Linked DNA regions of Schizosaccharomyces pombe. The gene in region 4 interacts genetically with the main gene of each other region. Each region holds a gene or a part of one and is shown on either strand. Other genes may lie near its edges.

Region 1 (3,732 bases), 970 kb from region 4:
TCCTACAGGGTTCTTGCATCTTGGATCTCTAAGAACAGCTTTATTTAATTACTTGTGGGCCAAGAAATCGAACGGGAAATTTATTTTGCGCCTAGAAGACACTGATCAAAAGCGAAAAGTAACGGGTTCAGACTTGGAGATTTATAAAGTACTAAAGCAGTTCAATCTTCAATGGGATGAAGGACCAATCGTCGGTGGTCCCTATGGTCCTTATGAACAGTCGAGCCGTTTACAAATTTACCAAAAGTATGCTCAGCACTTAATAGAAACTGGGAGAGCCTATGTATCTTATTCGGTCCCTATCGCTACTACCAAAATTGATTCATCTACAAAATATCATGAAATATCAATTGATGACTTGACTGATGCTCAAAGAAAGCTTTATAAATCTAAAAAATTCCCTTACGTTGTTCGATTCCGAATGAAGGAACCTTCACCATTCACTGATTTGGTGTATGGAAAAATTGCAATAAAATCAGATTCCAGAGAAATAGAGGAATCTAATAATTTTGTAATTTTAAAATCTGATGGATTTCCCACATACCATTTTGCCAATGTCGTTGACGATCATTTAATGCATATCACTCACGTTATTAGAGGAGAGGAATGGGTACCATCTACGATTAAGCATATACAACTTTATGAAGCATTTGGATGGAAACCTCCCAAATTTGCTCATCTTCCACTTTTAGTCAACCCTGACGGGTCAAAGCTCAGTAAGCGACAAAATGATGCACATGTATCTAGTCTTCTTCAAGAAGGGTTTCTTCCTGAAGCAATTCTTAATTTTATTGCCTTAATGGGCTGGTCTTCGCGTCAGAAAAGTGATTTTCTCCCGATGAAAGAACTTATCGATCTGTTTTCGATCGATAAACTAACAAAGAGCTCCTCAATTGTTGCCTTTGAAAAGCTTTACTTTTTAAACAAAAATTACCTGAGGAGAGCGATATCAGATGTTAACAGACTCGATGAGCTTATCGAACTGGTTCAGCCGAGGTTGATCCAAAAGTTTTCTCATTCTTCTAGAAGTCATGACAAAAGTTACACTAAAAAACTCTTGCTACTTTTAAAAAATAAAGTGCACACGATTAAGGAGTTTGAGAAGATAGTGTTCTATTTTTATGAGGCATCTGACCTTCAACAAATTAGAAGTTTAGTTTCCTCCCTCATCACGGTAGAAGAGCTTCCAAAAATTTTAACAACAATTTTAAACAAGTTCGAAACCATCGAATGGAATACTCATGAGATACAGATTAGTTTAAAAGAAATTGCCATGGAGCATCAGATGCCTTTGAAAAAAATACAGTCTTTACTTCGATATGGCTTATGTGGAAATCTGCCTGGAGGAGGTATTAGCGATACTATTAGTTTATTGGGGAAGGAAACAGTAAAATCCCGTTTGGAGCGTTTACTATTATCACTAAAGCATGAATTACCCAAAAGAAGTTGTATCGTATAATTCTAACTAACCAGATACAATCGTTTTTTCTTTGATACTTTTGATGCAGAGAATATAATAGCATTTTTATCAATCGTATATCTACAATGCGTTTTACGGAAAGGAACTTTATGCACAAATATAAATTCTCATTAGATTAGCTACAAAAAAAAGCAAGTAGCATCATTCAACAAATTTGTTGTAAGCAGTAAATGTTCAATAACTTTCAAAGTGAAATATAAAATCAAATTCACTGATTTTCTTTATGTAAAAGCAAATTATTAGTTTGCTTACAGTACTAGTTGACTTCCCAGGATAGTAGTCAGATAACTAGATCCTTCACTGTAATGTCTATTGAAAGCAAATGTATCTTATTAAAAACTTAGTGAGTTATTCGTTTTCGTTAAATATTGTTATAAAAATTTACGGTAAAGATTCGTATTTAAAACAACGCTATGCAACGAAGTATTGTAATGCTACTTACTGTAATGTGTCAAACTGAAAGACACTATCAATGCTGTCCCAGATGGACATTCTAAGGGCTGAACTTCTTACTACCAGGTACGACAGAATATACTTCAATGTCGGCTCAGAAAAGGGTGTTTTTAAAGGTTGTTATATTAGGAGATAGTGGCGTTGGAAAAACATGTTTAATGAATCAGGTATGTTAATGCTAGGGGAGTTGCTGATGTGGTCGACGTATCGTACAGACGAGCTTTTTTAAGCATTACCCTCGAATTCAACCATTGATGGTGTAGTGGTTATCAATTGAAGCGTTAAATTTTATACGTTCAGTATATTTTTCTTTTTGGTTTTTGTATTGAGCTGTAAAATCCAATACTGCAATTTCCCATTGATTTTATGTCGATAAGTTGTTATTTGTCGCTACAAGGTGATTGCTTTTAAAATTTATTCACTTTGTTATTAAATACTAGCTCAAATATGGTTAACGATCTTTACATCAGCTTCTCTATGAGTATTGCTTTGGCAATTTGTTAACATCGTCATTTTAGTTCGTCAATCAAAAGTTTAGTCGCGAATATAAAGCTACCATCGGTGCTGATTTTTTAACCAAGGACGTTGTGGTTGACGACAAATTGGTCACATTACAGGTAAGTTCCAATATAAGTTCCGCCCATCTAAATTCGTTTGCTAATTATAAACAGCTTTGGGATACTGCTGGTCAAGAACGATTTCAAAGCCTGGGAATGGCTTTTTACAGAGGGGCCGATTGTTGTGTAATTGTTTATAATGTGAATAACTCGAAGTCTTTTGACTCAGTAGAAAACTGGAGGCAAGAATTTTTATATCAAACTTCACAAGATGAATGTGCATTCCCTTTCATTATCGTTGGAAATCAAATCGACAAAGACGCGTCTAAACGAGCCGTATCTCTTCATCGAGCTCTTGACTATTGCAAATCCAAACATGGATCAAATATGATTCATTTTGAAGCTAGTGCAAAAGAAAATACAAACGTTACTGACCTTTTCGAAACAGTCAGTCGTTTAGCTTTAGAAAATGAAAGCTCGAGAGATGACTTTGTTAATGACTTCTCTGAACCTTTGCTTCTTTCAAAGCCTTTGAATAATACATCTTCTTGTAATTGCTAGATATTCACACGCTCTCTCAGATTCTTTTACATTTCAAAATGTGCTATACGTTTTCTTTTCATAATATTTTTTTACATTGCTATTTTAACAAAACTATGGTTACTTTCTGTTCTTAATTCTTCTCTTTTCCCTCTATTGATACACGTTTTTTTTTAGGTGTAAATAGTCTTTTAATTATGACCTCAGTTAATAAACTTTTATGAATTATCTATATGCTGTATTCATATGCAAAAATATGTATATTTAAATTTGATCGATTAGGTAAATAAGAAGCTTAAAAGCCTTCTTCTCCCCATTCATCCTCCATCGGTGTACAATTTGTAATATTGTTGAGTGGAGCAGAAAAAATGTTGGTAGTGGGGGACGGTGATGATGGAATTGTCTTTACGGGTGATGCTCTTATGGGGGATATCTTCATAGGAGAAAAAGGAAGGTTCTGCGAGCTGTTTTCAATGTCCATCTCGGGTGTTTGTTCTTTCAGATTAGTTCTTTGCAATTTTTCCGACATAATATTTAAAGCGTGTTCATTAACTACACGCTGCTTTGGAGGACTTAATGGGACGTTCTTAGATGAAGCCTTTGAATACGTTTCATGAGGAGTTCGAGAGTAATTTGGGTGCGGTGACTTGGATTCAAAATGTGTATTGCGAGATACAGAATTTGGAAACTTGTTAAAAGGGG
Region 2 (3,863 bases), 980 kb from region 4:
CTGTATTCAATCTCAACGGGTCTGATTGCATTTGCTTACAGTTCTATAAATTACTTACTTTCTAATTTTTATTTCATTTAAAACTTACTGAAATATTCATTCGCTTACTATGAGTTTATTTTACATTACGAGCTAAGACGGTGTTAGCTGACCTGGTTGCTTCTATAACTAAACAAATGTATAATGAACAAAGACTTATATACATATATTGATTAAATATTTAAAAAATATCGTAGCTGATAAAATTGTGATGGGTTCTTTAGCGACAGCAAAAGCAAACCTCTGAACTTTGTTATTAAAAAAATGCAACAAATTCCACTGGTAAGAAAAATATCTTCGAATGATCATTTGTTTAGTTATGCTCAGCAAAATAGTTTTACTTTTTTCAGTTTTTTGCCTTTTTTATTTCCTTGCAGTGTTTCCTCTATATAATTGTATCTATTACATATCTATATGCTTTGAGGGTGTAATTATTATTTTTATTTAGACCATTTCAAGTTTCATATTACAAGATTAGGAAATATGATTACTGGCTTCGGTTTCAATTGGTTCATCAAATTCATATTTTTTAAATATCAACAACTTATTAAAGAACTAATAATTGACCAGTTTCTTAAAACGGGTGATATAAAAACTTTTAATAACTGATACACTATGTCGATGCCGTATTGTTTCCCATTTCCTTTTGTCATTATACTGCAGTTTGCGCAGTTAAAGTGATTGAACGAAAGTATACACATAATAGATTTACAAAATGCTGAAACCCATCACAAGGAGTTGATGGTTGAATCTGTGAAAGTCCTGTTAAATGTAAAAAAATATAAACGACAATAGATCTCACGAGACTGGCAAAAAGAACGATTAAGCCAATTTTAAAATACCGCCGGCTTCCAGTTAATATACATAGCGCATCCACATTGCTAAACAAAACTACCCATTCTACGACGGTTGCCGCTATAGAAAGGTCGTAGTCCCAAATTACCATGAAAACGGGTAGCATTCTTGTGCTAGAAGAAAGTATTACAGCGCCAGACGCAGAAGTCCAAGATTTCCAACCCATTGTTAGGCATAATAACAGAACTACTGAAATTTGATACACAGTTGTCTCAACCAAACATATTAGCAGTAAAGTCAAGTACTGCCGGATAATTGGCTGGGAGAGAAATGCTTGGGCAGGTGTGAAGTAGGGGAAGAGGGCTGCGCGTTTTTCTAGTCGTGACCAAACTAAAAAAACGTTGAAAAGGGAAATTAATATGCAGAAATTGACAACCTTTGCGCATTTTGTCAGCTATTTAAAAAGCCATTGAAATGAATAAAATACTTACGTTACGAAATGTTCGTGCCGACAGAGAATTAAACAAAAGATGACGGTAAACTTGCGGTTTCATCAAAATTACATCCATGCTGATGAGAACAACATCTAATTCAATGTATTTGTCCGCAAACTGTTTGCAGTTTTTCTGTAACATAGTCGTTAGTTTGAAATTGTACTTAAAAAAAACTAAAGAACAAGTCGATCTTAACGATTACAGCAAGACTACGCATTCCACTCTCAGTATTCATTAAGCAAGATAAATGGAGACAAAAATTGAATGATCGTCATTTGCTTACAATAATGTAAATTATATTTGAAGAGAAAAATATTCATGAAGCTTCTTTTCGTCGCCGTTGGAATGGACTTGCCCTTAGCTCCTTACGATCAAGTTGACTACATCAACGAAACATATTGTGTGTATATTACTTACGCATTGAGCTAGTCGAATATTACTGGTACCCCTTCCATAATATGTGTATAAAGAATCGACTTCCGCGCCGCATTCGACGCATTTCATGGTGACGGGTGGTGGTGTCAATGTATTGAGGTATGTTTATGAACCAAACATTCGTATTCTTGGTTGACATGTAAAAACAATGAAGATATATAGAATTTAAAGAAAAAATGAAACAAGTAAGCTTATCTTTATTTGCATAGAAACATAAATACTAAAACTTATCCCAGAGTTCTACCAATTTTAAATTTTATTTGAACACTACCCAATTCCGTTAACAGACGAGTTGTAAAGCCAAAAAACCACCAATGTCAAACCTAAATTTTACAGTTCTTCAATAATATAAACAAATACTGCTTTCACTACATATTTAAAAGATTTGCGAAATAACCACGTCGATTCCAGCATAAAATCACTAACTCTCAAAACAATGCAGACTGACTGGAGCGAAAGAACGTAGTATAGACTTAGTCACATTTACAAGATTAAGCGTCTATTAAAAAGATTTTACAAAGGCTAAAATATTCGTAGAAATGAGAAACGTGAAAACAACATTCAATTGATTGAGCAATTTAAAAAAAGGTAGGTTTTTACTTTTCAGTACAACAAAAAAAAGTTTATTAGAAAAAAAATGTTAAGAAATAAATTTTGTACATGAAGCCAAATGCTGAATGAAATTAAAACAACGCTGAAAAAAAAAACCAGTCGACTGCGTAAAATGTATAAACGCATTTATTAAATGAGAAACCAGGATGTATTAACACAGCAAAACATACATCACAGGTAAATTAAATTTTTAATTAAAAGAATAATAAGTACAAAATGTCAAACAAAGAAGTCGTGAGCGACACAGGCTTGTCAAGCAACGAAAATAAACATTAAAAGAAAACGGAACGCAATCATGATTGTCTCATGAGAATTAAATAATAGAATATTAAACAATGCAGAATGGAAAAAGTTCTTTTTTAATGTACTCTTTTCTCGAGGCAAGATAAAAGGTACTCCGTTTGAACAATAACAGATGTAACAGAAAGATCATACTTTCCAGGAGCAGCATCAACTCTTGTAACAATTAGACCGATGACATGTTGAGTGTTTTGATCAAACCAAAGTGTTTCAGGTTGACCGGGTTTTATCGAATCAAGCCAATCCCGGCGGACACGAATAGGATCTTGAAAGCAAGAAAATATATCGGCTTGATGACGATCGCAGGAAGAACGAGACAAGGTAACGTGAATTCGAACATTGATATGGGGAGCAAGAAACTCCCCAGGGTATCGTTCAAAAGAAGCTAGATCCTCGTCGTCCTCAAAGGAGATTTGAAAAATAGAGGAGCAATTGTTAGGATCCAAGTGGAATACCGAATAACCATCATATTGTAAAGAATACAAACCGCGACGGGCAGACAAGTTGCAAATCGGTGAATCGGTATAGACATCCTTTGCAAAAACGCGAAGTGAATATTCGTCTAAGAAGGAAAGACGAGCACGAATGATCTTGTTGGCAATCAAAGTCAATGGATAACTGGCGAAGCTAGACTGGATAACGTCGTGTGCAGGTAAATACTGCATGACCGAGTCAATGACTTCTACTGGAAGCAGAGTAGAAGATGTTTGTTGAGCGTCGAAATTAACGTAGGAATTAGGTTGAAGGGCAGTCTGGGGTACAGACATGGGGGCTCTAGTAACACAGCTCATTTTTTACCAAACCAAAAAAAAAAAGGTAAGAAATAATTTAAAAAAAAAATCGGGCAATTAAGCTGAATAAATAAAGAGAATATAGCACCGATCGATGGAATGTGAATGAAATGAGATGATGGACGATTAACAAAACAAAATATTTCTATTTCGACCTATTCAAACCTCGATATGCGTTTCTATTATGAAGGAAAAAAGACAGTAAATTGTAAACAATTAAAGAATTAAAATGTCTAAACAAACAAGTAGCTCAAAAAGACGGAATTCCAAAATTAGTGAAAAAAGTAAATAAGCAAACTTCTTTTTCTAAAGCCAAGGAATGACTGTCAACGAGACTAGCAATGGGGAAACCTTGCAATTGAACGCTTTACGTCTCACAATACAAGCCTTGGTTTCT
Region 3 (3,145 bases), 930 kb from region 4:
AATGAAGTGTATTAATAGGTTATGCATATTTGTTGCGTTTAGACAGTAAGCGTATTCATATTACACTAAATAAAGCTGTTTATCTACTAAAGGGATGACTTCAAAAGTAAGTAAGCGACATATCTTTATTATGGTAATAGTTACAGAAGTAACATAGGATGTTCTATAAAAATCAAACATCAAATGGAAATAACACGCCTTATTGAACACAGAATGTTGGAAAACAGAGATTAAAGATTACTGAAATAACTCGTGAAAAAATGGATGTAAAATTATGTTTATTAATTAAAGGTTTGTCGAATGTCACGGTATGGACTTGAGTATAATAAATTAAATAAATCGCGAGGATATGCAGTGTACAGGGCTTTGATGAAATAGATGTTACAATTGATTATATCTAAGGTTAATATATCGAAATGAACGAGAACGAATAAAAATTAGGGTAATTAAAATACAATGAATGGATCAGAAAGAGATATACACTGATGAGATGAAAGATCAACGATTCTAGCAAGTGCCAAAGTAGCGGTCACCGAAATCACCGCATCCAGGAACAACGTATTTATTAGCATTCAATTCGGGATCAATAGACGCTGTAACCATTCTAAGCTTGGGAAACTTAGCAAAGACATTAGTAATCCCCTCATTGCATGCAATGAGATTAACAAACACAATGTTTTCTTCTGGGATCCCCTTGTTGATCAGAGTTTGAATGGCGAGAATTACAGAATTTCCCGTAGCCAATAAGGGATCTAGCAACAAAACCAAACGATCCTGTGCATCCTTGGGTAACTTGCAGAACATCAATTTAGCTTCAAACGTAGTTTCATCTCTTTGCACCAATAACTTGCCGACGGGAACTGAGTAGTTGCAAGCAGCGGCCAATCCATATTCCATACTCTCTCCAGCTCTTAAAATGCTGACGCCGCATATATCTCTAGCTGGTTGGACGCCAGTATAGGTGCCGCCGGAACTAGTCTTTATTAAGCATTTCTTATAAGGTAAAGCACTCAATGCTTCTTGCATTAGCATGTTGATAATGAGATTGGCTGTGCGCACAAACTCTGAATGGCCGGTTTGCTGATCGCGAAGAATAGTCATCAATGATAACAAGTACATGGTCTGACGGAGAACCACGACATTCTCGGGCTGTTCAAGAGGAATGGACATATTGGATGGAAATTTTAATTTAACAAAACGATTCAATTCAAAAAAAAACTGAAATTCGATAAGAAAAGGTTGATGTAACAAAAGGAATTTTTTACAAAATTCGTAAGATAGAGGTAAGTTCGTAAACAGTCAAATGTGGAAACTTTTTTCTCTATTCAGGGCCAAGAATTCTTCCTTTATATCTTTTAGATCGCCAGTTTTTAGTTTTTTTCAGACACTTTACAGCCGATTTTCAACCGCGGAATTTCCGACCGTCTTTGATTAAGCTATTGCGGAACAACCGCGCTATCGCACCGAGGCACAAACGCGGGCTCTATGGGGCAAAGATTAGCCACGTTCCACAGTAGCGACTCCAAGGTTGTACGGTTTAAGAGCTTGTAACGTAGTGCTTGAAACAGGTCGCAGTGGTCCTTTAAACCAGGTGCTTTCAGCAGTGCCTTCATTAACGGTTTTTTGATATTCCTTCAGGTAATTAGCAAACTTTGTAGCCAAATGATATTGGTCGACACTGATAACAAGCAACCATTTCCATATTTTAGTTACAAGGTCATTCAAAACTTTAGGCTGGACGATAGAAGTGTCTACCTCCTTTGTTTTTGCAGCGTAAATCAATCGCAGTAAACTTGCAGATGCAAAACCCGCGTGAAACAAGACATGATCGGAGCAACGAGACATATCGTAAGCTGACAATTCAAAAATTGCATCAATTGTTTTTAGCGCATAACTTTGCACCATGCTAACATACCGCGGTATGTTCGCAAAGTCATTACCATCCGTAGCTGTTTGGATGCTGGCCTCGTAAACGACATTGTAGGAATAAAAATAGGCAATCCGAGAATATTGCGGCTCGGGTTGTTCCCAAAGATGACACCATTCCTTGCGCCATTCTTCAAGCTGAAATATTGCATAATCCAAATCGAGGGTAGGGGATCGCAGCATTCTGTATAGCATGGAGTATACAGAGAGCATTCCCAAAATGTTTCCGTCAAATTCATTAGCCTTAGTATTTGTTAATATATTACGACAATCATCAAAAGTATTTTCATCCAACATAGCATGACGACGATATCCCATGCACATAACCAAATGACCATGGCAGAGGTGATTCCACGTTCTTGCGGGAACGATATCGAGATAAGTTAGTGTAGCGCTAGATCCCGCAAAACCGTTGAACCATCCCTTGGTGCTCGAAAGCGTTCTGTGTTGCAAAGCAAACCCGCTGAGGAGCCAGAGATCTTGTTTTTGGGAAAGCCGAAGCGGTCGATAAAGGGTTAGCATAGATACAGCCTCGAAAAACTGTAGGGAAGGTGAAGTAGTGAGCAATTCCTCTGAGATAAGGCGGTCCACGATGTTTAGTACGTCCGTGTAAATCCTAGCTTTCAGAGAGGGATTGTGTCTTAAAGCAATGAGACAAGCGGTTGCAAGCATCAAATGTGATTTTGTGTATAGTAGTTCCATGTACTGGGAAGCACTGTAGTCGACAGAGAGCCAGCGCTTACCATAGCGCTCTATAAAAATTTCCAAGAGCAATTCGATTTCATCCATGGAGAGTAAACCCTGGAGGAAAACGTCTTTTTCGGATTTGAGGGAAATCTGGCCTGCAATAGGAGAATTTGTGATAGAACTGATGGCCTTCTCCAATACCTTGAGTCTATAATAAGCAGTTTAGTAAATTTGTTAGTTTGAAAGATGGTATTACAACAACAAGACTACAGTAAGAGGAATGGGTTTTTAAAAAGTCTTAAGAATAAAACAAATATATTCATACCTGTTTTCTAGTTTTGAGTTGATATTCGCGCTAATAGCATCCATATTGTCATTTTCCACTTTTCGTATAAAGTGATTTGGATCAGCCAAGCTACAATCCATGTTCAAAGAGCGGCATCTTAAGCACGCGCGGTTTTCATCCTCAACAGAACCTGCCAGGCATCTCGTTTTTTGCTTACGGCAAGAGTCGCACGCTTCAAGAGCACGT
Region 4 (7,343 bases):
TCGCGAGTTTTTACATATCAAGAAATTTACGTTACTTATAATTGATGGTTAGTTAATCGTTTATTGCTTCATTAATTTACATCTGCTTCGTATCTTGAATGGAATGTTCTTGCTATGTTAACCATCTCGGATCGAGCAATTTAATTACTGTATATACGAAATTACAATTATTAAGTTAGAAATCATTTAAATAACTGAGAAGTATTGACTTTGTGTCTTTGCTGCGCACTGAATAAAGTGATTTGGTAAGCCTCACTTACTGACCTATCTCATCATCTACCTACCTAAAGAATCTTCATAATTAGCACAACTAGTCGTTCAATTGGTTTTCAATCTCTTTAATTTCATTATATTTTGCAAAATCAAGTACTTGCGTAATCGTTTATGGTCAGTATTTGATTTTGAGCGCATACCCCTAGCCTTAAGTTTTTTTTTTTGTTTTACTACTTGTGGTCATTAACCCGACGAAACTCTGCATGTTGTTTTAACCATACAATAATTTCCTTTTTTACTATCATATCAAATTCGCTATTATCAAGAAAATCCATATTAACGAGTCAGGTCGACTTGAAATTAGACTGTTTGGACTTCTCCTTCTAAACGGAATACGTTAACATTATTATTTTCAAGTGTTTTACTTATCTAAATATTTGTCTTTATAGCCGAATATGGCAAGTTTTCATATAATCGTTTCTTATGTCACTGTTGTTTTGGCTATAATTATCGCCATTACATTTGCTGCTAGAAGATTTTGGATATCTCGCTATCGAAGTATCAGATATTCACCTGTTGAAAATTCTTTTGAAGCAGATTTCAACAATGGGCTTAACTCCAGTTCATTTGATATCGCCCAAAATATTCTAGCTCAGGACACTCGGGCCGGCCTGGACGAAGCCGCTACTTCACAAATTCGTGGATTGATGAAACAGCTTCAGTGCTCATTTGATCAGGCAAGACTCATCTATATCCGTAAAGTCATGAGTGACAACAACGTTGACTCTACCGGCATGCCACTTGACAATAAAGCTGTTACAAAACTTTAAATGTCATTAAGCAACAACTGAAATCAGAAAATTACGCAAAGTCCTAAAAAATCTTAGTTAGTGTCTCCGAAAATATCTCAAAATCTTCATCGGCGGCCGGAATTTATTTTTTATTTATTTTTCCAGAATGGTATGTTAACTCATGGATACGAAAACATGTGGATACCGATTTATTTCGTTAGTTATGGAAACGAAATATAACATTGTCATAAGCTTTCTCAAACTTTTTACGATTCATGGACTTCCAAATCTTCAATTACTGCTAACGCTATCAATAATTCTTAAGAATTAATGAAATGTTTATCTTCAATGTTCTGACGATCCGCTGTACTTTCCATGTTCTATTTGCTATATGTTACTTTTGTGATCATTTGCTGCAATATATCAGCAATTCTCGAGATAGTAAGGCTGGTCTAAAAATTTTTTTAGTATTCGAACTAGCTGTTACTATTTTCAATACGGTAATGCTTCAATTAGCTAACCGTGTAAAAAACGGGCTCACCCTTGCAATATTGATTGTCTCTGTTGTAATGTTTGTGTATCATCAACAGCTAATAGTTAATTGCAAAAAGATGCTAGCCTTATAATTATTTGCTTTTCAAATTCCTTGAAGAGTAAAATTTTGAAGAAATATTTTGTTTTATCATGTTTGATAATGATCAAAGTGAAATTTCGTTTATTGTTTAGTTTATTATTGATACTTTAAGAGTCAGTAAGCTTATTAAAAGAGAGGTAACATTGTTTTTGAAACTGCGTAAGCAATATACGGGGCAGCAAGGAAGAGTGACAAAACTGGTGAAAAGTTTTAAGGTAATTGTTTAGCGCAGTACTCAGAGTCATTTAGCAATGCGTCATCTGGTATGTAACCCGCAAGGAAAAATCACATGTATGCTACTTCCATCAGTGCAGTCGTTTTGTAACCTTCTTTCTACAATTCATAACACACAACCTCTTTCTTTTTTTTGAACAATCTGTGAGGGTCTTATCGATTTAGACAGCATTTCGCCTCCTTCATTCATTATTTATTATATTCCCTGATGTAGAACAAGAAGGCCTTGCGATGGACGCGATTCATCCCGTATCTTTACGAAATAGTAAAAGACATCCATTACTGCATTCTGAAAGAAACCTCAGCCGCCGTGCAGTTTCTCCAAGCATAAGCAGATCATTTTTTCAGCATTCTAATGGATCCTTTCCCCTATTTCAGAACCACAGAAAGAGCTTACCTTCCGCTATATATAAATCCGTAGATCCATATGTTGATGCCAACCCACTAGATCCCTTAGCTGCTGCCAAAGCGAGTTTTGCGGATTTTCCTGAACAAGATGATTCTCAAAGTTCCACTAGTCCTTTATCCTCGAAGTATCACACCAAAAAGAATAAGCAAATTTTTGTCGAGGATTCAAGAAGAGGCGGGGCGGCTTCGAACGCGGCTGCCATTGCGGCTAAAAAGAGTGGTTATTATGAACGTACATCAACTAGAAAACGGTCGTTGACCGTTCCAACACCTCGTACATCTTTTCCGCATCATCCTCGAAGTCGACGATTTTCATTAAAGAATGCCGCAATTGCCACTTCTTACCACAAATTCAAACCTCTTTCATCCAATTCACTTTCTTCTTCCGGTATGCATTTTTCCGCTAGTAAACAGGCCTTCAACTCTCCTTTACTACAGACTTTCAGTCCTTCCCCTTCTGTATCTCCATTTTCGAATCCAGCCGTAGAGAAATTGAAAACCAGTGCGAGCAAGCAAGCGGCTGAAGCACAATCTTTAAGAGAGTTTGATTTTTTCACTCCTACTCCTGAACCCTCAGATAAGAATTTGGAAAAGCTGAAAAATGGTGCCAGTAAACAAGCTAGCGAATCCCAATCTCTCAAAAACATGGAATCACTTTCATTAGCAAGATCTTCACCAATCCTTACTTCAGAAAAGTTAAAAAATGGAGCTAGTAAGCAGGCTATTGAATCTCCACCTTTCAGAGCTTCGGAACCACTACCTTCATCAAATATTATACCGAATCCTGCTATGGAAAGGTTAAAAAATGGAGCTAGCAAACTAGCTATTGAGTCCCAACCATTTAAATCAGCGGAACCGTTATCTTCAGCAATTCCACTTCCCAATCCTATGTCCGAAAAGATGAGAAATGGCGCCAGCAAACAGGCTATTATGGCCCAAAGCTCAAAAATCAATCCCTTACCGCCACTAACAGCTTCAATTTCAGACCCGTCTTTTGAGAAATTAAAGAACACTGCTAGTAAACAGGCCATTGAATCTCAATCTCTAATGAATAGTGGCCCTGAACTTTTAGAGCCGTCGATTTCAGACCCAATGTTAGAGAAAATGAAGACTGATGCTGGTAAACAGACTGTTGAATCTCTGTCGTTGAAGAGTTCTGACGCTACAATTCCAAAACCATCAGTATCAGATCTTGGGGTAGAAAAACTTAAAAATGATGCTAGTAAATGTGCTGTCGAGTCTCAGTCCTTAATGATTAATGATCCCTCTGTTTCTTCAACCTCATTTTATAACCCAAATATGGAAAAACTGAAAAACGGTGCCATCAAGCAAGCTATTGAGCACCAAGCTTTAAATGCTGCCATTTTGAATAAGACACAATTACCTTATTTTCATCAATCATCTTCCGAACTACCAATATCTGCTAGCAAACGGGCTGCATTGTCTCAACAAACAGAGTCGGCCTCAAAGTCATCTAGTAATATCTCTGAAATGTGTGATTCACATCCTCCTTCTAACTTTTCAATCTCTGCTAGCCAGCAAGCTAGCAAGGACCGTTTTTCGGAGGCTACTTCTTCTATCGATTTGGATCTGAGTCCTGGTAGAAGTCTCTCTTTGGCTTCTAGTAAGCTTTCTGTGAAAGAAGCTGGTGCTCGCGTTTATAATAGAAGCGTTGCTACTCCAGTAATGACGCCGTCCAACCCATTCGAAATTTCCAAATCAGCAAGTCAGTTAGCGAGTATAGCTCAAGTACCTGTTTCCGAACCCGCAAAGACTTCAGAAGTGAACCTTAAAAAAAGCCTTTCCTTAGCTTCTAGTAAACTTTCTTTTCAGGAAGCTGGTACCTCCCTTAAAGAGAAGACTGCAAATGTTCAACATTCCCCGGAAGTTTTGAATGACCGCTCTTTGGCGTCACTTTCTGCTAGTCGGCATGCTGATGCCATATCTTCGAAAAGCAAACAACATACTGAAATCGCGCAGCCAGCATTTAATACGACTGGAACTGTGCTAATGAAGACAAAATCAAACCTTTCAGATTCTGCGTTAAGCACACCACAACATTCTGATTCGGTGCTTTTCGATATTACTTCTAAGGCTGCAAGGCTCGCTTCTACTTGTGCTAAGACAGATCTACACAGGAAACCAAGGAGAAAACATAAATCATTTACCCTTGAGAATTATTTTGGGCATAATGCTGAAGACGAAAGCCCTCAATCTGACGAGGTTGAAAGTCAAACGCCCCCTTCAGGATATTCTGAAAACGATATCGGCGGAACGGACATATACCCTTTTGCTTTACAAGGAGCTGCTTTGGCTGCCGCGAAAGACTTTTCAAGACGTGAAGCCTCCTTAAGTGATAGCCAATCCGCTGCTTCTATGGATATGTTGCCTATGAAGAAGAAATTGTCCCATTCATCTGCATCTTCTACCCGTTCTATTAAATCGTTATTAACTAATGCTAACCAAAAGCATATTCATTCCTCTATAAATGAAACTGATGATATTCCTACAATGGCCGCTCATATTGTTGCAACTGGTCAGAAAAATAAAGAAAAAGCACCTTCTTTTTCTAATGATCAGGCCCTTGATCACTTGCTTGGGTCTGCTCATAAACGAATTCCTTCTAATAAAACGGAATGGTCGTCGTCATCATTGCACATTCCTTCGCATAATTCTTTTTCTGACATCCATCATAGGAAAATAGCTGCTCATGCTGCAGCCATTACGGCTGCTTCCGAAAAACTTACACCCTCCATAGAAGAAACGTCGTATTCTTCGTCCAAGGCCCATGATGCGTCTTTGAGTGCTGCCACTCTAGTTGCAAATAAGGATAAACTCATTCACGCACCTACCCCTCAAGTCCTGGCTCCTGTGCTGCCAAAAGTTTCACTTCCTCATCGTCATTCAGTTTCACTTGGTCAAATTCGAGGAGAATCTGAAGTTGAAGGAGATGTTTTTTATGATGCTCCTTCAGATAAAGAAGACCTTGGATCTTCAAACGCTCCTTTAGATGTACCACATGGTGCTAATCGTAGCAGCATGGATGAAGTTAACGGTTCAAAATACGATTACAGTGATGGAATACTTGATGGCTCAGGTCAGTATACTGATAGTGATATGTCCGATGACGAGAACTCTCTCAAAGATTCGCAAAGTTCGGTTTTAAGCTTTTCAGCTGTTCCCACAAAAGTATTGAAATTTAAGTTGCGTGATGTATTGGGTTCTGAGTATTCTCCATCTCCACAACTGCTTGCCTCTTCAAGTGATGTTTCAGGCTCATCGTCAGCAGTACGCGCAGCTATGAAAGCAGACAAAATCTTTCCAGCTGTTCATGAAAACCCACCTCCTTTAAAAACGAAGCAATCAATTGCCAAACCTTCACCTCATACATTGCGAGTTCCTCAGAAAAAGCATAAACATTTTTACCATCGTGATGACGGAAAATACAAGAGTGGAACCAATTTGCGTAAATCCGAAACTGTTGATCTCCCGCAGTTCTTTATTGATGAAAATCGTAGAAAGCTCTATGAAGGGTTGTGGGCTGCTAATAAAGGTTATTTACTGAGCAAATCAGAATATTCCAAACCGAATGATTTGATTTGCAATATTGTTGTCCGCGAACTCTGGTCTCGTAGTGGTGCTCCAACGAGTGTTTTAGCCAAAATTTACGATCTCGTTGATAGACATCACACAGGTGTCTTGGGGCGTGATGAATTTATTGTCGGTATGTTTCTGATCGATCAATATTTGAAAGGCCGCAAGTTACCGTTGAAGGTACCAGACTCTGTATGGCTAAGCAGCAAGCGTATGGGGGATATGCTTTGGCGATTAGAAAAACTGCAGAAAAAGACAGATAATAAAAAACCTTTCTTCAAAAAAAAGAAGAAAAAGAGAAAACATTTGAAAAAGTTTTTCGACTTTAATACAACAGCAAAGGTGAACGAGGGCGCGATGACTGACTAGAGAAATCAACATCGGGTCCTCTTTTTTTTAACGGGAAATATCTTTAAGCTTATCAACATTTATTAAAAAATGGCATTTCGGTATTACTTCATTAAGGTCTTTTCATTTGAAACACTCCGTTGTGAACCTGTTTTCGTAAAGCTTTCGCTATTTTTGCGAACCACGTTTTCAATCAGTTGTTAGTTTGCTTTTGTTAATCGTTAATGATAGTACTTTCTGATCTATTTAAGCTGTCGATTGTTTTACTCAATTTGCAGATATTTCACAACCGAAGCGACCTTTTTAAGCGAAAAGAAGGACTTTATTTTTACATCATAACTTTTCATTTTGCAAAACTTTTATTATTCATTTTTACATTTTTTTATGCATTACCCTTTTTATTACTTGATTAATTACTGAAGCATAGGTTAGATTTACGCTTAACGAATTCCTTGGATACCATTTGCTTGTTTGTTATAAAATTTTTCAAGTATTATTTATATCCTTTAATTAGCATTTTTTAACTATAATAAGCCAACACAAAGGTTTAGCAATTAAAACTAGCCAAAATACTGTTCGATGTAGATTTTTTTTTTAAAAAGACATGACTTCTTTATTAAACAATCTTGCTAGTATGAACTTGTCCCAATCCATAATGTGTTGTGACTCACTTTCGATCCTTAAGTTTAGAGGTAAATAAACCAAGTTCTCCAAGGCCATGATGCCGAACTTCTGTTTTTAATGTTAAAATCATAAGATATTATGGAGTTAGCTAAAATTGGAGACAGGCTTAACAATTATTACAATAATATTTATACACTTTCCGAAAAACTTGGGTATTCGTTTACAAAGATCAGTTTTAACAATATCATCTTGGACGCTTTGTCAGGACACCAAAGAAAATTGGAGATCAAAATTATAAATATTGAGTCAAAATGCAATGAATTATCTTCTGAGATATCTCTTTTAAGAAAAAGACTGGGCATCATCGAAGAAATCGAAATACCGCGCACTCTAATTGACCAATATGAATGCCTGGTAACTTACCATAATGGTATTCGAGCAATCTATAACACGAAGAAAAATGAAGCAAAAAATATGTACAAAGAAATTGAAAGGTT

Evidence for each region.
Region 1: mutations in irs4 (region 4) and ypt71 together harm fitness more than expected from each alone (negative genetic interaction), as found in Schizosaccharomyces pombe (one large-scale study listed by BioGRID).
Region 2: mutations in irs4 (region 4) and arv1 together harm fitness more than expected from each alone (negative genetic interaction), as found in Schizosaccharomyces pombe (one large-scale study listed by BioGRID).
Region 3: mutations in irs4 (region 4) and uck2 together harm fitness more than expected from each alone (negative genetic interaction), as found in Schizosaccharomyces pombe (one large-scale study listed by BioGRID).

The regions. Positions count from the first base shown.
Region 1 is NC_003424.3:1,880,198-1,883,929, reverse strand, and holds ypt71 (GTPase Ypt71), read left to right. Parts: upstream 1-1,982; 5' UTR 1,983-2,019; coding exon 2,020-2,100; exon of another isoform or gene 2,101-2,451; coding exon 2,452-2,550; exon of another isoform or gene 2,551-2,604; coding exon 2,605-3,051; 3' UTR 3,052-3,232; downstream 3,233-3,732. Other genes in the region: glutamyl--tRNA (Glu) ligase Mse1, read left to right, coding at 1-1,459; antiparallel microtubule cross-linking factor Ase1, read right to left, coding at 3,326-3,732. UniProt on the Schizosaccharomyces pombe protein: Ypt/Rab-type GTPases are key regulators of membrane trafficking and intracellular vesicular transport.
Region 2 is NC_003424.3:1,890,523-1,894,385, reverse strand, and holds arv1 (Arv1-like family protein Arv1), read right to left. Parts: upstream 1,843-3,863; 5' UTR 1,833-1,842; coding exon 1,746-1,832; exon of another isoform or gene 1,461-1,745; coding exon 1,326-1,460; exon of another isoform or gene 1,271-1,325; coding exon 692-1,270; 3' UTR 540-691; downstream 1-539. Other genes in the region: pof15 (F-box protein), read right to left, coding at 2,735-3,466. UniProt on the Schizosaccharomyces pombe protein: Mediator of sterol homeostasis involved in sterol uptake, trafficking and distribution into membranes. Also regulates the sphingolipid metabolism.
Region 3 is NC_003424.3:1,838,646-1,841,790, reverse strand, and holds uck2 (uracil phosphoribosyltransferase), read right to left. Parts: upstream 1,171-3,145; coding exon 508-1,170; downstream 1-507. Other genes in the region: protein toe1, read right to left, coding at 1,498-2,821, 2,939-3,145.
Region 4 is NC_003424.3:912,989-920,331, forward strand, and holds irs4 (ENTH/VHS domain protein), read left to right. Parts: upstream 1-1,973; 5' UTR 1,974-2,103; coding exon 2,104-6,243; 3' UTR 6,244-6,787; downstream 6,788-7,343. Other genes in the region: SPOM_SPAC1687.07 (uncharacterized protein), read left to right, coding at 669-1,043; SPOM_SPAC1687.08 (uncharacterized protein), read left to right, coding at 1,340-1,630; protein mcp1, read left to right, coding at 6,985-7,343.